Cricetulus griseus: one gene and its partner. The protein of the gene in region 1 interacts with the protein of each later gene in a pairwise test. Links are inferred from orthologs where the notes say so. Each region holds a gene or a part of one and is shown on either strand. Other genes may lie near its edges.

Evidence for each region.
Region 2: the proteins of Gramd1c (region 1) and Cd151 interact in binary tests that used the Homo sapiens proteins (3 or more experiments, as listed by UniProt). The link is inferred for Cricetulus griseus from reciprocal best matches to the Homo sapiens genes GRAMD1C and CD151.

The regions. Positions count from the first base shown.
Region 1 is NC_048597.1:46,380,677-46,390,273, reverse strand, and holds part of Gramd1c (protein Aster-C), read right to left. Parts: intron 9,207-9,597; coding exon 9,074-9,206; intron 6,520-9,073; coding exon 6,357-6,519; intron 1-6,356. UniProt on the Homo sapiens protein: Cholesterol transporter that mediates non-vesicular transport of cholesterol from the plasma membrane (PM) to the endoplasmic reticulum (ER).
Region 2 is NC_048596.1:59,712,237-59,722,444, forward strand, and holds Cd151 (CD151 antigen), read right to left. Parts: upstream 5,783-10,208; 5' UTR 5,656-5,782; intron 5,222-5,655; exon of another isoform or gene 4,952-5,221; intron 4,783-4,951; 5' UTR 4,576-4,782; intron 3,930-4,575; 5' UTR 3,862-3,929; coding exon 3,778-3,861; intron 3,660-3,777; coding exon 3,468-3,659; intron 3,150-3,467; coding exon 3,075-3,149; intron 2,851-3,074; coding exon 2,746-2,850; intron 2,660-2,745; coding exon 2,501-2,659; intron 2,375-2,500; coding exon 2,288-2,374; intron 2,205-2,287; coding exon 2,145-2,204; 3' UTR 1,434-2,144; downstream 1-1,433. Other genes in the region: Polr2l (DNA-directed RNA polymerases I, II, and III subunit RPABC5), read left to right, coding at 1-20; Cracr2b (EF-hand calcium-binding domain-containing protein 4A), read right to left, coding at 6,713-6,890, 7,091-7,162, 7,245-7,411, 7,575-7,670, 7,902-7,992, 8,086-8,232, 8,615-8,774, 9,132-9,243 and 1 more. UniProt on the Homo sapiens protein: Structural component of specialized membrane microdomains known as tetraspanin-enriched microdomains (TERMs), which act as platforms for receptor clustering and signaling.

The DNA of each region.
Region 1 (9,597 bases):
AAGGCTTTCACTAACACAGAAGTATTATATATTCATGATAAAAAATAACACAAATATTCACAATGGAAGCAAACAGATATAGGTGATTCAATAGAATTTCTTCAGAAAATTCTTTCTATAAAAGAATCCAGGGCTGGAGAGGTGGCTCAGAGGGTAAGAGCATTGGCAGCTCTTCCAGAGGTCCTGAGTTCAAGTCCCAGCAACCACATGGTGGCTCACAAACATCTGTAATGAGATCTGATTCCTCTTCTGGAGGGCTGGCAGAACACTGTATGCATAATAAATAAATCCTTAAAAAAAAAGAATCCAATCCAAAATGCTACATTATAATATTTTAGTTATAATATCTCCTTAGTTGTCTCTAATCTGGGGTTCTAATCATGCCTTCTCATAATTTATGCTTCTTAGTTATGCCCTTGAGCCCTGAAGAGCACTTGTCGGTTATTTTACATGATTTTCAATGTGGGCTTGCTTGCTGTTTTTCATGAATACACTAGAATAGTGGGTTAGGGGGAAAGAACACTGTTAGGATTAATGCTCTTGGCTGTTGAGAATGATGCAATGATAACCCTGAGCAGGCAAGGGATGCTATAAGCAGCTCTGGCTTTTATCTGAGGGGGCGTATACCCCTGAAAAGACGAATTATATATGCATAAGAATTCTGTATCTCCTACATCCCCATTAATATCTGTTGGGGTTTGTTTGCTTGTGTTTTTGATGATAGCCATTACAACTGGGGTGAGATGGAATCTCAATGTAATTCTTTTGGGATGTTTGGGTTTGGGGTGGGGTAGTGTTTGCCTGGTTTTTTGTTTGTTTGTTTCTTTGAGGCAGTTTCATATAGCACATGCTGCCCTCAAACTTACTATGTAGCCGAGGATGACCTCCTACTTCTGAACCTTCTGCCTCTGACTCCCTGTTACTAGGATTGCAGGCCTGTGTCACCATGTCCTATTTTATGCAAGGCTGGAAACTAAATCCAGGGCTTGGGGAATGTGCTAGGCAAGCACTCTAGCAAATGAGCTCCACTCGCTAACCCATCAAAGTAGCCTTCCCCAAGAGCTAAGAAGATTTTCATGTGTATTTATTGGCCATTTGTACTTTTTAATGGGAAAAGTGGTTTTCAGTTCATTTGTCCATTCATTAACTGAATCACTTGCTCTCTGGCTATTTAATTTTTGGATATTTTCTGGATAGTAATCGCTGTTGGGTATGAAAAAGACTTCCTCCTATTCTGTAGGATGTCTTACCACTCTACTGATTTTCTTTTGCTGTGCAGATTTTTTGAAGTTGAACACAATTAGGCCAAGCACATCTGATATTTTCTCTACACCTAGAAGCATTTCTCTTAAGGGGTCCTATTTTATAACTTTTCAAAAGTGAGCTTTTTATTCATATTAAAAATGGAAAGATTACACTTGTGTACATTCTTCTATATAGTACGTTCATACTTCTCCTAAGCTCGTTAGGTGATAGATTCTGAATTATGACTGATAAAAGTGCAATTTACTGTATCAGTATCAGAAATTAATAATATATTCTGCATGGAAATTTGCTCAAGGAAATAAATAAATGAAATGAACTGTTCCTGGGTTAGGTTACTCATTTATGATATTCTTGACATTTCAATATTCTCCAAAGATCAATACCAATAATACTGCTGTTGCATAGAAAGTTGACAGGTGGTTCTTTTTAAATGAAGAGAGGACACTGCTCAACTCAGGAGCAGGGTACTTTTGTCAATATAGGGAAAAAAAAAAAACGCTTCAAAAATACCAGCTAAGGGACTGGAGAGGTGGTTGCTCATCCAGAGAACCCAAATGTGGATCCCAGCACCCACTTTGGGCAGCTCACAACCACCTGTAACTCTAGCTCCAGGAGATACAAGGACCTGCTACCTTTGTGCACGCCAGCAGTTTCATGCACACACATACACAAATACACATATTTGAAAACATTTTTTTAAAGTATCAGTAGAAATCATTTGGAATGAGGCAGATGACTAAAGGGGGAACACAGTAACATGAAACTCACAACATACACTGCCATTGTTTTGAGGATGCAGAACAGTGTCCTAGACAGGTAAGGATTGAGTTGGATTCCCTCCATGAGACAGTAGCACCATATTCTGTGTTAGTTGGTTTTGTCAGGGACTTGTGATTCTAGAGTGAATCTCTATGTCAAAATAACCCAGTGTTCCTTCCCCAGAATTGTGATATGAAAGGCAGGGCAGGATTTTCTCATTTTTCTATCATGGTGGTGTAAACATAATCCCAGCACTCGGGAGAGGGCAGGAGGGACCCTGGATGCCCAAGGCCAACCTGAGCAATATGACCAGTTTCAGGACAGCCAGGGCTACACAGTAAGACCCTGTGCCAGCAAACCTAAGCAATGTTTGGTTTAAAAAGAGCCCCACCCAGCCATCTCCCTTTAGCCTTCCACATCATTCTCCAATCTCCCAGCTTGGTCGACTTCATTTGATCTTTCTCATTTTCTACCTAGATCATTTCCTGCCAATGGCTTCATTATTTTACAACCTCGAGAAAAGAGAAAAACAGAGTCATCTTTATACTCATTTGAAAGTTATGATGAGCCTGATATTTGAAACACATTTAGGGAAAACAGTGGGATCACCCAAATTATTATCTAATATAATCTATTAAGAAAAACTCACTCTTAGCCGGGTGTTGGTGGCGCACGCCTTTAATCTCAGCACTTGGGAGGTAGAGGCAGGTGGATGTCTGTGAGTTGAGACCAACCTGGTCTACAAGAGCTAGTTCCAGGACAGCCTCCAAAGCCACAGAGAAACCCTGTCTCAGAAACAAACAAACAAGAAAAACTCACTCTTATATCTTAAGGACACTTTAGGGAAAACACCGTGTAACTGCTCACTGCCAAAGCAAGCAGTTTTTAAAGAGGCACCAGTAAGGATCACAGAGTGACCAGGGCCCAAGTACAGTAACTACACACTCTCATCTTTCCCTTATTCCTAGATGTGTGTGTGCAGCCTTTGAGTTTTAATGTGACTGTTCCAGGAACTCAATAATGAAATGACTTTTTAAGACAATTCTTAAGAGTAGGTTTAATGAAAGAGAAAATAGTTCCTTGTTTTGCTGTCACTTGCCTATTTGGCCACTGGGTGCCAGAATAGATCTTCCTAGAGTTCCAAGTTCAGTCAGGAAGCCAGCACATGCCTAATTCACGCCCTCACATCCTAAAGTAAGGCCATAACACCCATCATTCCCGTCATGCCTACTATACTGACTTCGATGCCAGTGATCTTCGTATTTTCAGGAAAGACTTAATATAAAACCTACTGTGTAATATGACATACTTAGAGAAAGTAGGGAGCTTGGCTTGCTAAGTTGCCCATAGACATCTTTGCTATTGTTGTTATTGTTGTTATATCCTCAAATATCCCCTGCTACCCTCTTCCTCCTGTCCCACCTCCTGGGCATACACTGAGGACAGAGCACAAAGGTATCTAGCTCTCCACAGCCAGGAGAGTGTCCTCACCAGAAAGCAATGCTGCTGGGCCTGACCTGTGACTTTTGCACTATAGAACTGTAAGGAATTACATTGTTCTCGTCTGACCTATGTGAATGGAAGTATCTATCTTTCGTGGCAGCCCACGCTGCCTATATCATGAATAATCGTGGAAGGGGCATACCAGGCAGGCTTGGCACATGGCTGTCATGTTTCATGAAGCCTCATGGCTGTCATGTTTCATGAAGCCTAGGTACCCTCAGCAGCTGCTGCTGTTCCATGGCTGGTCTCACCTCTTCCTCTGGGGAGAGCAGCTGGCTTGACTTATGAGTAATTCATACATATTTTCAGCCCAGCCTTGTTACCTCTGGCACATGTAAGTGGATTTTCCTCTTACTTGGCCACCATCACTGCAAAGGGTACTATTTTGGTCCCTCTGACTTGCTCTTTGTTTCTTTTCCCAATTTTAGTTTCTTTTCCCAATTTTATTACAGTAGGGATATCAGGAAGGATGCTATTTGTTGAGCCCATGTAACAATATACAGCATACAATAAAAATAGCAGCCAGAGTATAACACATTTGATACCCAGAAGGCCTTTCTTTCAGTAAAGATTCTGGTTATTCATCATCATTAGAGTCTAGCTAAATCTATTAGTTTTCTAAATTCAAATGACATTTTACTTTTTACATTTCCTTTATTTATTGTGGGGAGGGTACATGGGTCATTGCACATATGTAGGGCCAAAGGAAGACTTGCAGGAGTCTATTTCTCCTTCCATTATGTGGATCCCAAGGACTGAACTAAAGCTATTTGGCTCAATGGCAAGTACTATTACCCATAGGGCCACATCACTGGCTCTGTGAGTTATTTTTAAACACCATGTAGACTAGTATTAGCAGTTTTCTTTGTAAAAATATTTCAACTACAGAATGTTCTTTAAAAGTGATTTGAACTGGGCAGTGGTTAGTTCCAGCACTGAGGAGGCAGAGGCAGGTGGATCTCTGACTTCAAGGCCAATCTGTCCTACGAAGTGAGTTCCAGATTAGCCAAAAAAAAAAAAAAGGAAGGAAGGAAGGGAGAAATGTGATTTGAAAATAAATTTTAAAAATTTGCCAGGCAGTGGTGGCACACACCTTTAATCCCAGCATTTGGAAGGCAGAGACAAGGAGATGTCTGTGATTTCTAGGCCAGCCTAGTCCCCAGAGCTAGGTCCAGAACAGCTAGGGCTATACAGAAGAACTCTGTCTCAAAAAGCAAAACAAAACAAAATTAAAAATTCAATGGATATTGATTTTAATAGAAACAGTTCAGATGTAATTGTGAGGATGTGACCATGTGTCTGCCTTTAAAGTTATTTTTAAATATTTCTCGAAAATAATCTAAAAACAATAGTCAAAAGCATGTAACTTCACCCATACAAAGTAGAATAATAATCTTCTAAGCAATCTTTTTTGAAAAAAGTTGCTTTCTAAGCATTTTATTTCCTAATGGAAGCCACACAGTAATTTAATATTCATCTCAGAATGTGCATCTGCCATGACTACTTGTTATATATATATATATATATATATATATATATATATATATATATATATGTGTGTGTGTGTGCATGCGCACGTGTGTGTGTGTGGGGGGGTAGTGTAAAATCAGTCTTGCAGAGCCTTTGCTAAGATGTTTGTTTGAGGCAGGGTGTCATTATGAGTCTTGGCTAGCCTGGGATTCATTATGTAGATCAGTCTAGCCTCAAACACACAGAGATCCTCCTGCCTCTGCTTCCCAAATGCTGGGATTCAGTTGTGCACCACCACACCCAGCAGATGTCTTTTTTTTTTACAAAGAAGAGAAAGAAGAATTTGGGAAGTTCTGGACACAGTGCTCATGCCTTTAATCCCAGCAGTGGCAGAGGCAGGAGGGTCTAAGTTCGGCAGGACTAAAAAGTCAGTTACAGCCCAGCCATCCAAGACCACACAGTGAGAACCTAGCTCCAAGAATAATAATAATAGCAATAACTTGGGAACTCCTTTGGTTAAGTGAAAAGAACACAGGTCTCAAAGGTCTTATCCTCAACCCAGCCTCAGTACAGTTAACTAGCTACATGTGTTTAAAAACCCATTGATTTCATCTTTCTCTAAATAAATACATTAACAATGGGACCATCTTACCCCATTTAGTCTGCTGGAACAGCATACAGACTTGCTTTTCACTGTGTCCACTGCAATGAAAGCTTTGTTTGTGTGTGTGTGTGTGTGTGTGTGTGTGTGTGTGTGTGTGTGTGTGTGTGTGTGTAGTCTGCTGGAACAGCATACAGACTTGCTTTTCACTGTGTCCACTGCAATGAAAGCTTTGTTTGTGTGTGTGTGTGTGTGTGTGTGTGTGTGTGTGTGTGTGTGTGTGTGTGTGTGTGTGTGTGTTATCTGTAAAGTCCAGGGGACAACTTGCAGTGTTGTTCCTCAGGAGACATCTTCCTTTAGTTTTTGAGGCATGGTCTCGTCTCTCATTGGGACCTGGCCCTTGCTGATTAGGCTAGGCTGCCTGGCCAGTGAGACCTCTGTTGTTGGGAGTACAGACCTGCACACCATGGCCACCAAAGCTGGGTCCAGAGATATCTCACTGTGCCCTGGCTTGCTATTCCTGAAAGCTTGGAATTCTAAGCCAACCTAATGGAGACTTTCAAATTCCAGGCTTTGAGAGACACGCAGATGGGCCAGACTGACAAGTTCTTCTCCTGTGTTCTATATGCATTTATTCCTTTTCTGGTTCCCTATAGTGTGAGGCTGCCACAATCAAACTCTCACTCTGCACACACCTAACACAAGGGTAAACATTAGAAGACATGCCTGGAATTTTGTTAAGATTTAAATTCTTTACCTTCGTCAACAGAATCTGAAGTGCTGCTTTTGTCCAGAGAAAGGTACTCATTTTTATTCAAGTCCAGTGATTTGGAGGGCGTTCTACTTAACCTCTTTTCTGAAACTAGTGAAAGGCTTTTTTTCAAATGTTTCTCACTCTGGGACTCTTCTTTTCCTAATCCCTAAAAGACAAACAATTCAGTTAAAAAGTAAAAACAAACAAACAAAAATAACTTATTTAAGCTTAGGTCTCACAGTAAAAACTTTAATAGTAAATATTAAGAGTAAAGACATGAAATGATGTTTTTTGAAAAATATCTAAAGCATTCTGTTAAGATTGACTGCTACCCTTGACATAGAGATAATATAGGTCCTCCCTGAGGTGTTCTCATGCAGTATGAATGACACATTTATGAAGAGAACCATGTAAAAGGGATTCAAAGAAAGGTATTAGCTTGTGAGCAGCTAAAGCAGAAGGGAAGGGAAAGGAAGGGACAGAAGGCAAAAATAAGAAACAATCAGGCCTTTGGGGTGGGTAAGGGAGAGAGGTCAAACCCTGTTTGTTTATTTATCTGGTGTCCACTTCTCACCCATCTCTCAAAATCAATAACTAAAATAGAAATGGAAAGAAAATAGAGAGATAGAAGTAAGTCACCTAGGAGTGTGGTGGGGAGAGGAGTGAGTTCATAGCAAACTGGTCCTAGAGATAAAAATATTAAAATATACCAAAATTTGACATGTATACTTTCTGGGCATATTTAATAAGGACATGTCATTATTAAATGACAGACATTAAAAAAATGACAGACATTAAATAAAAGTGTTATTGCTATGTTATAACTCAAATAGAACTAACTATAATTAGTAAGATAAGTAAAGAATCTATATTAGAAAAAAAAGAATCTATATTAGCTATACAGAAAAATTCCGTTTTGTACTGTGTGTACACCGACAAAAGACAGCACAAAACATGCATCCAGCCCTTCTCCTTTCTGCCCTAGAAGATGCTTGCCTAGTCCTGAACTCAGCTCTAGGGAGGACACAGGTTTCCACTGGCCAATGGGGAAGCTGGGTGGTAAGTGGAACCCAGGATACATCTTACTAATGAGTTACACTACCCTACCCAGAGAACTGACTCTTCAAGCAGAGCAGACTACAGCTAAAATCAAGAGGTGATGCATTTGGGAGTTCCACAGGAGAAAGCATTATGGTTACTTAGCAGACCCAGGGCCTCTCAAACAGCTGAGCAGAGCTCCACACATATATTTCTCCCATTAACTAAATTGTATTTCCTATTATAGGAATAAAGATACCTACATGAAAGGTAACAAATGTTGGCATCTGTATTGATTTTATCTCCAGATATTTTCCTGTATTTTCCAAGGAATATTAATTTTATAATGAGCATGTTTCCATTGGAAAACAGTTGTTTCTGGGTTTTTTTTTGTTATTTTCAATTTGATGACAGTAAAACATCAAACAAAGTGAAAGATGGACACCATTTGCTGACCTCTGAAATCGGAGAGTCTCACCATAATGCTCCTGGGGAAAAGACCCAGCTTCCAAAGCCGAAAACCTCTGTCCTAAACATCAGCAAGTAAGTAATCAGTCTATTGCACTCTTTTACATCCCATTCACCATGAAGAGAACAGGCAACTTATTTTTGGACATAACTAAAGGTAAGATCCAACAGACTAAGTATTCCAAGAGGAGCCACAGAAGACTGAGGAAGTGGAAAGGACTAAGACAGACTAAAGTCCTGAGAACCCACTCCTCAAAGATGGACTTTGATAAATGGGTAATGAGACTGCAACAAGTCCCCCATCTTATTACCTCCCCTAACTGAGTGTTTCACATGTAAATATTAACTTCCAGAATGACAATCCTTGTGCAGTACTAGATCCCTAAGTGTCCATGTTTATAAAACTTATACTGAACAAGTTTTATAAAAGTAGGCTGACATAGAGGTATGATGAAGGATGATTGTCTAAAACAAGTGTAGAGTTCAGGGACCTTTCACATGAATAAATTCTATGTCAGTATTTTCCCAAAGGTGTCTTAAAAAAGAACCATTACTAACTACATGCAGGCTCACTTTCAATTACAACAGCCAATGGTTTTAGGACACTCAGTGAATGCTAGGAATTGTTCTCAGTACCTTAATAGCTTTCTTTCTTTCTTCCTTCCTTCCTTTCTTTTTCTCAAGACGGGGTTTCTTTGTGTAGCCGTGGCTGTTATAGAACTAGTGCTGTAGACCACTTAGACTTATGACACTTGAAAAAACTGAAGCTCACCAGCTAACTGAAAAGCCAGTCACTAGCTGGACTGTCATTTTTAATGTGTTACCTAAGGAGTTTCTACTAAAAAGAAATGGATGTGTCCTCTGTGACCCAGCTATGCTCAAAGGCCTGTCTCTCCCTATTTGAAACAGACTGTCTCCACCACATGCATTTCCTTCACATGGGGAAATTCTGCCAACTACAGATTTCTGGGTCCTGTTATATTTTAAGAAGTATTAGTAGTGTCTTAACATGTTGCTCAGGGGCCTGCACCTTAGCTATCTTTGAAGAATACCACATTCTTTCCCCACATAACGTCTGCTACTTAGAGATACATACTCTTTTTCTAAAACAAAGCAGCAGCTGGACAGTCTAAGCTTTTCAACATTTCTAATACATTGCATTTTTTTACTTGCTCTCATGTAGGTGTGGGTTTTAGGGAACAGCAGATACTAACTCTCTTCGGTGAGTTTCCATCCAGGGACTCGGTTTCTGAAACTCGGCTAATTGACTCCTGTGTAAAGCTGATGGCCTTGGAGAACTTTTCATCTCTTTCCCCAGAGTCATCCACACTGTTTCTTTCTGGACTTCTGTAGGAAACACAGCATTAGGGAAGCAGAAGGTCACATCCAGGCACACAATCCTCGGTGCTCCTCTCTGAGGTCTTTGCAAGTCTAACAAATCATCTCAACAAACAATAGATTGTTATGCTGTAACCAGCTCCTGTTATAACAAGCTATCCTCTTAGAAACATCAGCTGACTTCATTCTTGAAAATAAAACATATACTCCTATGCAAATCCACACATTTCAGAGACGACTAAAAGTATAATGAAATACAAGTTGCCCCAGCAGTAGCCAATCGGACGCTTGTTTAAGGTCGAGGTATAAAACCACAGAGCTCTGAAAGTTTAGGAAGATGTCTGGGTCAGATGCCACTTGGCACCTGAAGTCAGTCTTACAAGTCTTGCTTCTGATGTAC
Region 2 (10,208 bases), on another chromosome or scaffold:
ATGCTCCCCTGGAGAAGTGAAGTCTGGAGTTTACCCTCCTCCTCTGCTGGCCATGGACAATCTTAATCATGCTGAATTCAAACTGAGGTGTTGGGGAGGTGGGTGCATTGCCTGGCTTTGGCCCTGTGGCCTACATCCCCTCACCCTGGAAGAAACAGTTCAGTAAAGACGTTAGCAGAAACAACAGGTCTAACTTTATATAAGACCCTCAACATCATGTCTATGCTGTCTTTGAGGTTACCTGGCCTGGATCCAGTCTTTTTCCCCAGGACTGTTCTCCTTCCCCTCACCCGACTTGGGAGTCCAGTCTTATGGGAGCCCACTGCTTCTGTTTCTCTGGGCCTTGCCCTGTTTGATCCACTAGGTAACCCTACAGTACAATCTTGCACTCATTGCCCTAGGGCCTCATCTTTTCCTGCCAGTGCTCAGGGTGGGCAGGGTAGATGTGGCCACACCATCCATCCACAAGGCAGGGCCCAAGCCTGGGAGGTTACTCCTTTGGAATACTGAAAGTGCTTGGAGGCCCACTCAATTGTCCCACCACCATGGTATAGAAATTATTTTTATGTGTGTGGTGTTTTGTCTGCTTGTATGTCTTTATAATTGTGTACCCATAGAGACCAAAAGTTACAGACAGTATTGAGCTACCATGTATTCTTTTTGGTTGTTGTTGCTGGGATTAAAGACGTGCACCACCAACACCCTTAACCTCTGAGCATTTGCTCTCCCTGCCACTCAACCCAATCCCCACAGGAGTGGAAAAGTCCCAACCCTAAGAAACCTACTCGAGTTCGAGGTTAGCCTGGTCTCCAGAATGAGTGCCAGGATAGGCTCCAAAGCTACACAGAAAATCCTGTCTCAAAAAAAACAAAAAAGAAACCTACTCGAGGCCCATTTAAGGCTCTGGTTCCTAGGTAGTTGCAGTAAATATCTCAGGGTTCTTTTTTTAGCACATTGATCCCACTGAGATTTTTGTTGTTCTGGGTTTTTGGTTTTGTTTGACTGGTCTGAAACTCAGCAATCTGCCTGCTTCTCCTCCCTCTCTTGAGTGCTGGGATTAAAATGAATCGCATGCACACACCCACGCTAGTTTTTAAAGAGGAGAAAGTTTTGCCTTAGACTGGAGTCAGGGGGCCCCTAGGACTCCATTCCTCCAGCTAAACTAAACAGCATAGGACTACTGGGGACAGAGAATCAGCTCTTATATTTTTGGTTGTGAGCCTAGCCTTTAATGGCTGAGCCCAAGAATGAGCTCTTAAGGTACATTCTGAATATGAGCAATCCTTTGCCTGGCCAAATCCAGGCCACAGTGAGCTGGAGGCTCACCAGCTACCAGAGGTCAGCCTAGCTGCCCTGCTACTAGGCTTCCCCATCTTTGACTCTTACGAGTACTCCAGCTACCCTGGACCCTAAGGTCCTGTCAGCAAACTGACTCAACTGTTCATATATTTATTGAGCACCTGTTACAAAGCAGGAGCATGTGTGGGCATCAGGGTTACAACAGTGGATGGAAACAGCCATACCCCCGTTCAGAGATGTTCCAAAAGGAGACAGTATATAGGAACATGGGGCATTTGCACAGTGTTATCAGAAGTGGGGGAGAGCCAGGGCTGAGGATGTTAGGAGCAAGAGAAGCCTGGATGGAAAGGACGGCATATACAGTGAGTGGGGTTGGAGTTCCCCTCGGGTTGCCCCATTGCTTTGGAGCAAGCACATCTGAGTGTTCCCAGCAGCAGGCATGAAAGGTACCTAGACCACCCAGAATGGCCTTTCCCACCTGCTTCTACCCACCATGCAAGTGGTAAACCCATGTTCTCCCCCAACACTTAATGCAAATCACAGCTACCCAAGGAAAGTAGCCTGTGGGCAAGAGGCACTTTTGTCAAATAATCTAAACCCAATTCTACCAGGTAGGCCTAGCCCAACACTGGCATACCTGCCCCCTCTTATCCTGGGGCAAGTACATTGCCTCAAGCCTTGGTACTTTGGTATGCAGTGAAAGGCACTTGAAGCTACCCCTGAGGTGGGGTTGTAGTGATGGCATGAGGACAGCTACCTCTCTGGCAGTCAGCAGTCTAACTCAGTAGTACTTCGTAGTGGGGTGGGACATAGTGCAAGGCTGGCAGCCTGGCCTGGCACCATGGTCAGTAGTGTTCCAACTTGAGGCTTCTGTATAAGCAGCAGGTGAAGATCATGCCGAAGACCTGCATGGGACCAGGCTGGTGTAAAAAGGCTGTGGGCCACCAGCCACCCCAGTGTTCCCACCTAGTCACCTCTGTTTCCATACCTGTACACAGGCGATGCCGATGCCCACAGCCCCAATGACCCGCAGGTGCTCCTGAATGAAGGTCTCCAGCTTACTGATACAGCCACCCTAGTGGGGAGAGAGTGGTGGACCTTGCTGGCTCCCATATGCAGCCCTATTGGACCAGGCTGCCCTAAGATGTAGCCAGACCGGAGACACCCAATCAGTCTAGCCCTTTGCTCAGCACCCACCTACCTCCACTTTATAGATGTTGGAGGCATGGTCCCGCCTACCACAGCCAGGTACCACAGTCTTACAGCAGCTGTCAGGAACCACACGGTTTTCTGCCTCACCAGAGCGGATCCATTCACTGTCTCTCCAGTCTTGAGAGTTGTTGCTGCCACAACAGTGGAACTGCAAGGGGGTATGTGGCTGAGCCCTACAGCCTGCCAACATATAGCTCCATACTGGGAAAGTGGAGAGTTATAGGGGACACCCACCTCTTGCTGTAGCTTATCTACAGCATTAGTCACACCCTTGTGGCCTGACTGGTGGTATTTCTTGGTCATGGTGTCCTTGAGATTCTCCTTGAGCTCTGTGTTCAGCTGTGGGTAGGATCAAAGTCTAAGACCCCCAAGGGCAAAACTAGAGTCAGGACCCCCAGTGGGACTGACAAGACTAGAAGAGCCACCAAGTGGGCAAGCAAATGAGTGACACTGTCAACCCCATGCATACCTGCCTCCCCATAAGTCCCAAAGCAGCCCTGGGATCCACCTGCCTGTGTGCACACCTGTTCCAGACGTACCCCATGTCCAGTTCAGGCCCTTACCTGCTGGTAGTAGACATAGGCCAGGATGCCAGCAATGATCTCCAGGAGGAAGATGATGAGGAGCAGGATGAAGTACTAGGAAGCAGGGACCCAGTGAGTTGGGGTTCCTAGTGCCAGAGCACCACAAAGCAAGTCCCAACCCAAGAGGCCAAGCAGGAGGAATCCAATTAGCAGCTACAGGCTTGGGCTGCCCAACTCCTGATACTTCTCTGGGCTGGTGTATACCCTCAGCTGGTCCAGCTGGGGGGATGCCCCAGAGAGTTCAACAGGGACAGCCTGCAGTAACATACTTAACCAGAATCAAGCCCCAGAACCAGTACCAGAAGCCCCTGAGAAACCCATGCCAGTCACCCCCAGCCCCATGCTTCACTTGTGCCACCAGGCCCTGCTGACCAAGCGTAACAGGTTCCGTCGCTCCTTGAAAGTGGCACAGCAGCCCAGGACTCCGGTCACCATGACAACGCCACCAGCCACCACTAAGATGTAGGCTGTGGCTAGATAGGTGTTTGAAGCCAGCAGACTAATGTAGTCACTCTTGAGTACCAATGTCCAAATGCCCACTGCCATGACGGCCAAGCCGGCCAGCTGCAGGAAATATGTACTGGTCACCACATCTGGCCTGGGTCTGGAAGCTGGGGCCAAGCCCCCAGGCCAGGCCTCCAAGATGAGGAAGAACAGGGATGTAGGGAGAGTCACTTCTCACCCAGAAGCAGCAGTTGTAGGTGAACAGCAGGTACTTGAGGCAGACTGTGCCACATGTTGCCTTCTTCTCATTGAATTCACCCATGCTGGGCCTGCAGAAACGTGGAGGAGGTCAGATGGCTGGGAGCACAAGGCCTCCAGCTAGCAAGAAAGCTAGAAACCAATGGGAACAGGAGAGGATGCAGCAGTTTGGATCTCAGCCAGCTATCAGCCTTAAGAGGAACCTTCCCAGGAACTATGTATGAGTCACTTCCTGGACAACTGATCAGGTCTAACACCCCTCCTAGCAGCCAGACACCCATATTGAATTGCATGGAGGACCCCCAACCATCTGCTGACTCACTCCTGCTGGCAAGGGGTGGGGACTCTTCAGGATGTATTCCTGTGGATTGCCACCCCCACAGCATTCCCTGACCCTATATCATCACGGGACTGACTGTTTAGCATTAATACCCCAGATGTGGCAGAGAAGCAGACCTCAGGTAGACAGTGAGGGCTCTGTGAGTAACCTCTCTACTCTCTCTCATCCAGGGCAGGGACAATAGAGGTGCCAGTAGGTGGAGCCTACACAATCAGCTCCCCTCCAGGCTGAAGGAGGCCTTCAGTTCCATAGACATGGATGTGCCATTCCCCCAAAAGTCCCCTAGGCACAAACTGCCCTAAACACACTAGTGTCTGCACTGTGGACAGTCTGCAGTACAGACCTCAGCTGAACACCCCAGGACCGGTTTTTAGACAGGCAAGTGTACAGGACTTCTCACCTGCCACCTGCGGGCTCCGTCCAAGCACCAGCACTCACCTCTATAAGTCAGAAGGACCAGCAGGTACAGGTCAAAAGTCAGTGGTCTGCCCTTCACCTGGCAGATGGGATCTTGCCACTCCTATGGTGGCTGAAGCAGTGGTCAGAATGATTTCCAGAGCCACCAGATCTGGAAGCAGGCATAACAGTCAGGTCTATTTTCTTCTGGACCAGGGTGGGGCAGAGGACATTGCTGGCCAGCTTGATCTAGGGAGGGACCAAATGCCTTCTCCAGGTGCCCCACCCTCCAGACCCATCCATCACTGTCCCTCCCCCACCAAACAGCATCGACTGCAGACTGGAGGAGGAGAGCATCAACTGTCCACCCCTGGGGATTACAGACCTCCATTGGAAATAGGACCCAAATACACGCTACCTCACTGAGGAGGGGCATGACACAAACTGAGGCCCGACTACAATGCAAGCCTCGGGTCCAGGCTCTAAAAGCCGAGAACCTATGCGGTGCTGCTTCTGAATACTTCCAGCAACCTAAGCCAAGGCACAATCAGCAGACTGAATGTTAATTTCCTGAGAAATGGCCGGCGTAGGAGTCGCAATCAGCCAGAAATAGCTCTTTCGGCCTGAACACGGCCGCCCTACACTCAGCCCCTGGACTTCTCCCGTGCCCTCGATGGCGCTCGGTACCCGCCCCACCGAAGGGACTAGGCACTGAAGGCGGCTAGGCAAGGAATCCCCGCGTCACCGAGATGAAGTCATCATCGCCCCTGCCCGTCCCCCCACTCCCCCCTCCCCGCCCCCGCCAATGGGCGGACCTGCGGTCTCAGGGGAGGGAACCGGTGTCCGGGGACAATGAATAGGGTGATCAGACTTTGACTTTCTCGGTTTCTGCATGAAGGGGACCTCCAGGCCTGTCCAAGAACCTCGGAGGCTTTCTCCCTCCCCCCTCTGCTTCTTCCCGCCCCGGCGTCTATCTTCCGGAAAGGAGCCTACAGCCCTGTCCTACCGGCGCTGCCTCCTGGGCGTCCCCGAGGCCAGCGGTGAGGACTAGGGACACCGGGACGCGAGGCATTCGGGACACCGCTCCTCACACCCTGCGGCCTGGCTCTGCGGAGCACTTACCAATCACACTTTGTAGTATCAACCCCGGCAGGCGGCTGTAGGAGTAAGCGCTCCGAGTGGAGAGAATGCTCGGCCCGGGGCCTTCGAGGACACGCCCCGCACGCGACCCCGCCCCGGGCGCAGCCCCGCCCACGGCTGGCCTGGGTTGGGCAAGTCCCAACTGGTTTGGAGCTAGGGCTCGTGGCAGACCGCGGCACTGCAAGACCTGGGGCACCTTCCCAGTCTGTGGGGCCAGAAAGTTAACTTGAGGGCTCCGGTGATCAGCAAGACCCCCCACTCACCCAGAGACAGAGGAGCTAGGCTGGAGACAGAACCAGGTGGCGAGTGGAGAGGTGGGGAAGGTGGCACCTAGCCCACCAGAGCCCAGAACTGAGACCAAGACCAAATCCTCCTCCAGTCTAAGCCCGGGGAACCACTCTGAGGCTGCAGGTTCTAGCGGCTGAGGAAATGTTGGAGGGGAAGCTCCAGGTACAAGTGTGAAGAGTGCCGGGAGACCCACAGACACGTGAGGGCCCTGCAAGAGGGCATATGGTCTGTCTAGGAATGGTGCCAGATGATGAGGGAGTAAGGACCGGGACCAGAGAGCTAGCTGATCACAGAAGTGAGGGGCAGGACTCCCTTTCCACATGAGGGCTAGCATGGTAGTGGACACTTGTTGAAACCTGAGTCCTGTGATGGACGGAGAGGGAGGGCTTGGCGAGTGACCAGAATCACAGGACATACACAAGTGCACAGGGACTCACAGCCACAGGAATGACAGGCTAGTGTGTACCTGTGAATCTCTCCATATCACCTCGTGCCGTGGACACCAAACATGAACCACAAATGTACTGTGGCTCTGACACACAAAAAGCAAGGAGTGCACAGAGGCCAGTGACCTTTATTGGTCTACTAAACAGATATGAAGACGGAAGACTTTGATCATTCAGAGCTTAGTTCCTTCAGGTAGCTGATGCTTTCTGGCTAGAGCCACATACCTAACAGGCAGCCGCCACCCACCACCAGTCCCCTTCTAAATAAGGAAGGCCCTGTGAGTCGGTGAGTCATTTGGGGCTGGTCATCGGGCACTAGGAAGATGGCCAGAGCCTCGTCTCGGGGGCCGAGCCCAGCCACAGCAGCAGCAGCAGTAGGTAGGTCCAGGCTTGTGGGCAATCGCTAGAGCCTTCCTATGGCTACTCCCCAGCAGCTTAGTCTCACAGGCGTCTCTCTCATCTCGAAGTCGCAGATTCAGCTCCCTAGAGAGGAAGAGTTTGAGACTGTGGAGGTTAATTAAAGATCTAGAGGAAGCAGTGCATCGGGAAGATGGGCTGGCTCTCCTGAGTCCGGAGGACTGCAGAGAGTGCAGCATGAAGGCTACATGGCAAGATGGTGAGAGCCAAGACTATTCGGGAACTTGAAACCACTTCTCCACACAGCCCAGGTAGGCCTGACCCACCTCAGCAGCTCCAGCTGCCTTAGGAGACTGAGTTTCTCCTTCTGCATGTTCCTGGAGACAGCAACCACATCTCTGTAGGTAGAAGGTGGTTGGTGATCCAGATGCAAGGTGGGGGAAGGGACCCTCCACCCCGTCCACAGGCGCCTCACCACACCTTTGGGTTTGCTCCTGACGACCTTGTGCTTCGCCCTCCAGTCGGCTGAGCTGCTCTTGCGCCTGGTCCAGCTGTGCTCTTATCACCTCATAGGCCCTACGCAGCTGGGTGTGCTGGGCCTGCGCCTCTAGCTGTTCTGCAGTCCGGGCCTGCAGCTGCTGTTCCAGCTGGGGAATGTTGGGATGCTGGCAGGCGAACCACGCTCCCCGCTCACCCCCCAGTGCCAAGGTAACTTCTCACTCCTGCAGCTCGAGGACTCCGAGGCACAGGAAACCAACCCTCAAAGAAATGAGTCTGCGAGGATGCGGGCGTAAAGTAACTAAGGTTTACCTCCCGCTGCCGCAGGCCTGCACGCTCCAGCTCCTGCTCGCGGGTCTGCAGCTCCAGCTCCAGGTGGCCCCTCTGTTCCTCCCGGGGCAGTAGTTTCTGGGATGTACAGCCGCACTAGCTCCTGGCTCAGAGGAGGCAGGCGGAGAGGCAAGGGTGGGGAGCAAAGGGGTGGAGAGCGCGGGAGGGGACACTTGCGGAGGCAGAGCAGAGTTCCCTGGACTTGGGGCAGCTTGGACTCCCGGAGGTGAGTCCTCTGGGGCGGGACCAGTTCGGGGAAGGCGGAGCCAGAGAAGCCAGAGAGGCTGGGCGTGGCATACGCGGGCCCACCTGGCTCTGGCAGCGGTGTCGCTGCTCCCCCAGCTGCTGCTCCAGCTCTTCGTAGAGTCCGCGCACTTCCCTCTCGTGCTCACTCTCTCGCCTTCGAGGAACCGGGATATCACAGGCATGAGCATTTGCCAGTTTCCTCTCTGTCCCCTCGTGAGACCCCACACCTCGCCAAGCCGGTCCTCACCGCCGCAGTGCCTGCTCCAAACCGTCGCGTTCCCGGGCCGCCGCCTCCAGGCAGGCCGATGCGCGCATCAAAACTTCCTCCAGAGCGCCCAGCAGCTCGGGTCGCTCGCGCTGCAGCCGGACCCAGAGTGTCCTAACAGCCCATTGCCTAGAGGGTGTGAATAGAGATGAGCTGGCAGATGCTGGAGGTGTGTGCCCTTTTCGGAAGGTGAACCCGCTAGAGAATCCCGCGGCCCAGAACTGGCAGCACATCGGCCGCGTACTCTTTGGAGTGTGCTCTCATGCCTGCTTAGCCTTGCACGAGTGACTAGGTGTCTGGTGGCACCCCGCCCCCACAGAGCTATGGCCTCCTGAAATGCAAATCCTGAGGAAAATCACGCCAGGGCACTCTCCCAGACAACCACAACTGACAAAGGATGGACTGGCCCCGCCTTGGGATTCTGTGGCAACAGCCAGGAGGGCAGGGTGGACAGAACATGCAGAGGAGAGGGATCAGGCTCGAAAAGGAAGTGGGCCTAGCATCAACTCACTCGCCCAGGACCCGGGCCACTCCCAGCTTCTCTAAGGAAGTGCAGAATGTCTCAACATCGTCGTCCTCCTCCAGAGAGCCCCCTGTGCTTGACTCAAAGGTTTCCTCAGGAGTCCTCAAGGAGGACCCACCTTGGGCCGACTCCACCCCCACAAACTTTCCTGCAGACATGGGACCAGGACTGTGGGTTAACATGGGACCTACCCAACTCCCCCGGCCACACACAATATATCCTGTCCTCTCTCAGGGCCCAATTTCCTGTTTTTCTTCCTTGTTCTGGTTCTATTGGCCTGGGAATGGGAAATGACAGCCAGCTCCCCCGCCCCACCTGGGTTGGCAAAGGAGAAGGAATTGGGGGAGGGCAGACAGCTATGCTGCACAGTAGCTGGGGGTAGGTGAGGTGGTGCAGCTCACAGAGTGACTGCTTGTAGAATGCCTGGGTAGTTGTGAAAGGCACAGGCTATATAGAGTCTCACAGGGGCCTGAATAGGGTCTCCAGGTGGCTGGGACCTGCTTACCCAGGCCAAGACAGAACTCCCGGGCTGTGAGGAAGCCAGTGTGGGCCTGGTCCAGACTTTCAAACACAGCCTCCAGCTGCTCAGGCGTTAGGGGAAGATCACTCTGCAGGCCCTAGCCAGGCAAGAAAGACCAAGGTGAGCAGCCAAGGTTGGCCTTGGGCCTGGCAGCCTCTTGGAACTGTGGCTCACCTGCAAGTCCTGCCTAGTGATGAAGCCTTTAGCATCCTTGTCACACAGTAGAAAGAGCTCCTGGGCCTGCTGCAGCACCTCTGGACGGTGCCCTGCTGAGATTCCCTTCGTCTCCTCTTCCTCCTGGCCCTCCCCAGGCCCAGGCTGCCCAGGGCTGGCCATAGGAGCAAATCTTGCCTCTAGTAGGTGCTGAGAAGCCAAAGGAAGATCAGAAGAAATGGGAGGAGGGATGAAGGTGTGTCAGAGGGTGAAGACAGATAGAGGGCTTGGGACCTCCTTGTACCAGGTAGGAAAGTGAACAGAAGCAAGGCATTGGGACAGGGATGCTCTGTGACCACTGGGATGGGATGAAGCAGATTCAGGACCAACCATCTCAGGAAGCAGAAATTCTGGGGAAAACCTGAATCCCTGGATGGAGCCAGTTCAAGAAAGTGAGGGGTTAACTAGATATGGTGGCATATACTTTTTTTTTTTTCTTTTGGGGACAGGGTTTCTGTGTAACAGTTCTGGCTGTCCAGAAAAGGTGGCATACACTTTTCATCCCAGCACTCTGGAGGCAAAGTTAGGCAAAGCTACATAGTGAGCTTCTAGCTCAAAAAAAAAAAAAAAAAAAAAAAAGAAAGAAAGAAAGAAAGAAAAGAAAAGAGAGTGAAACCAGACATAGTGGGGCATGCCTCAATCCCAGCACTCAGGGGGCAGAGACAAGCAGATCTCTGTGAGTTCAAGGCCCGCATGGCCTATAAAGTGAGTTCCAGAACAGCCAAGACTGTTACACAAAGAAACCCTGTCTCTAAAAACAAAACAAATAAAAATTAAATGAAGAAGAAAGTGAGAGTGTGACTTTACTACAGAAGACTTGTAAAAACAGGTGGCCAACTCTTGGCAGCC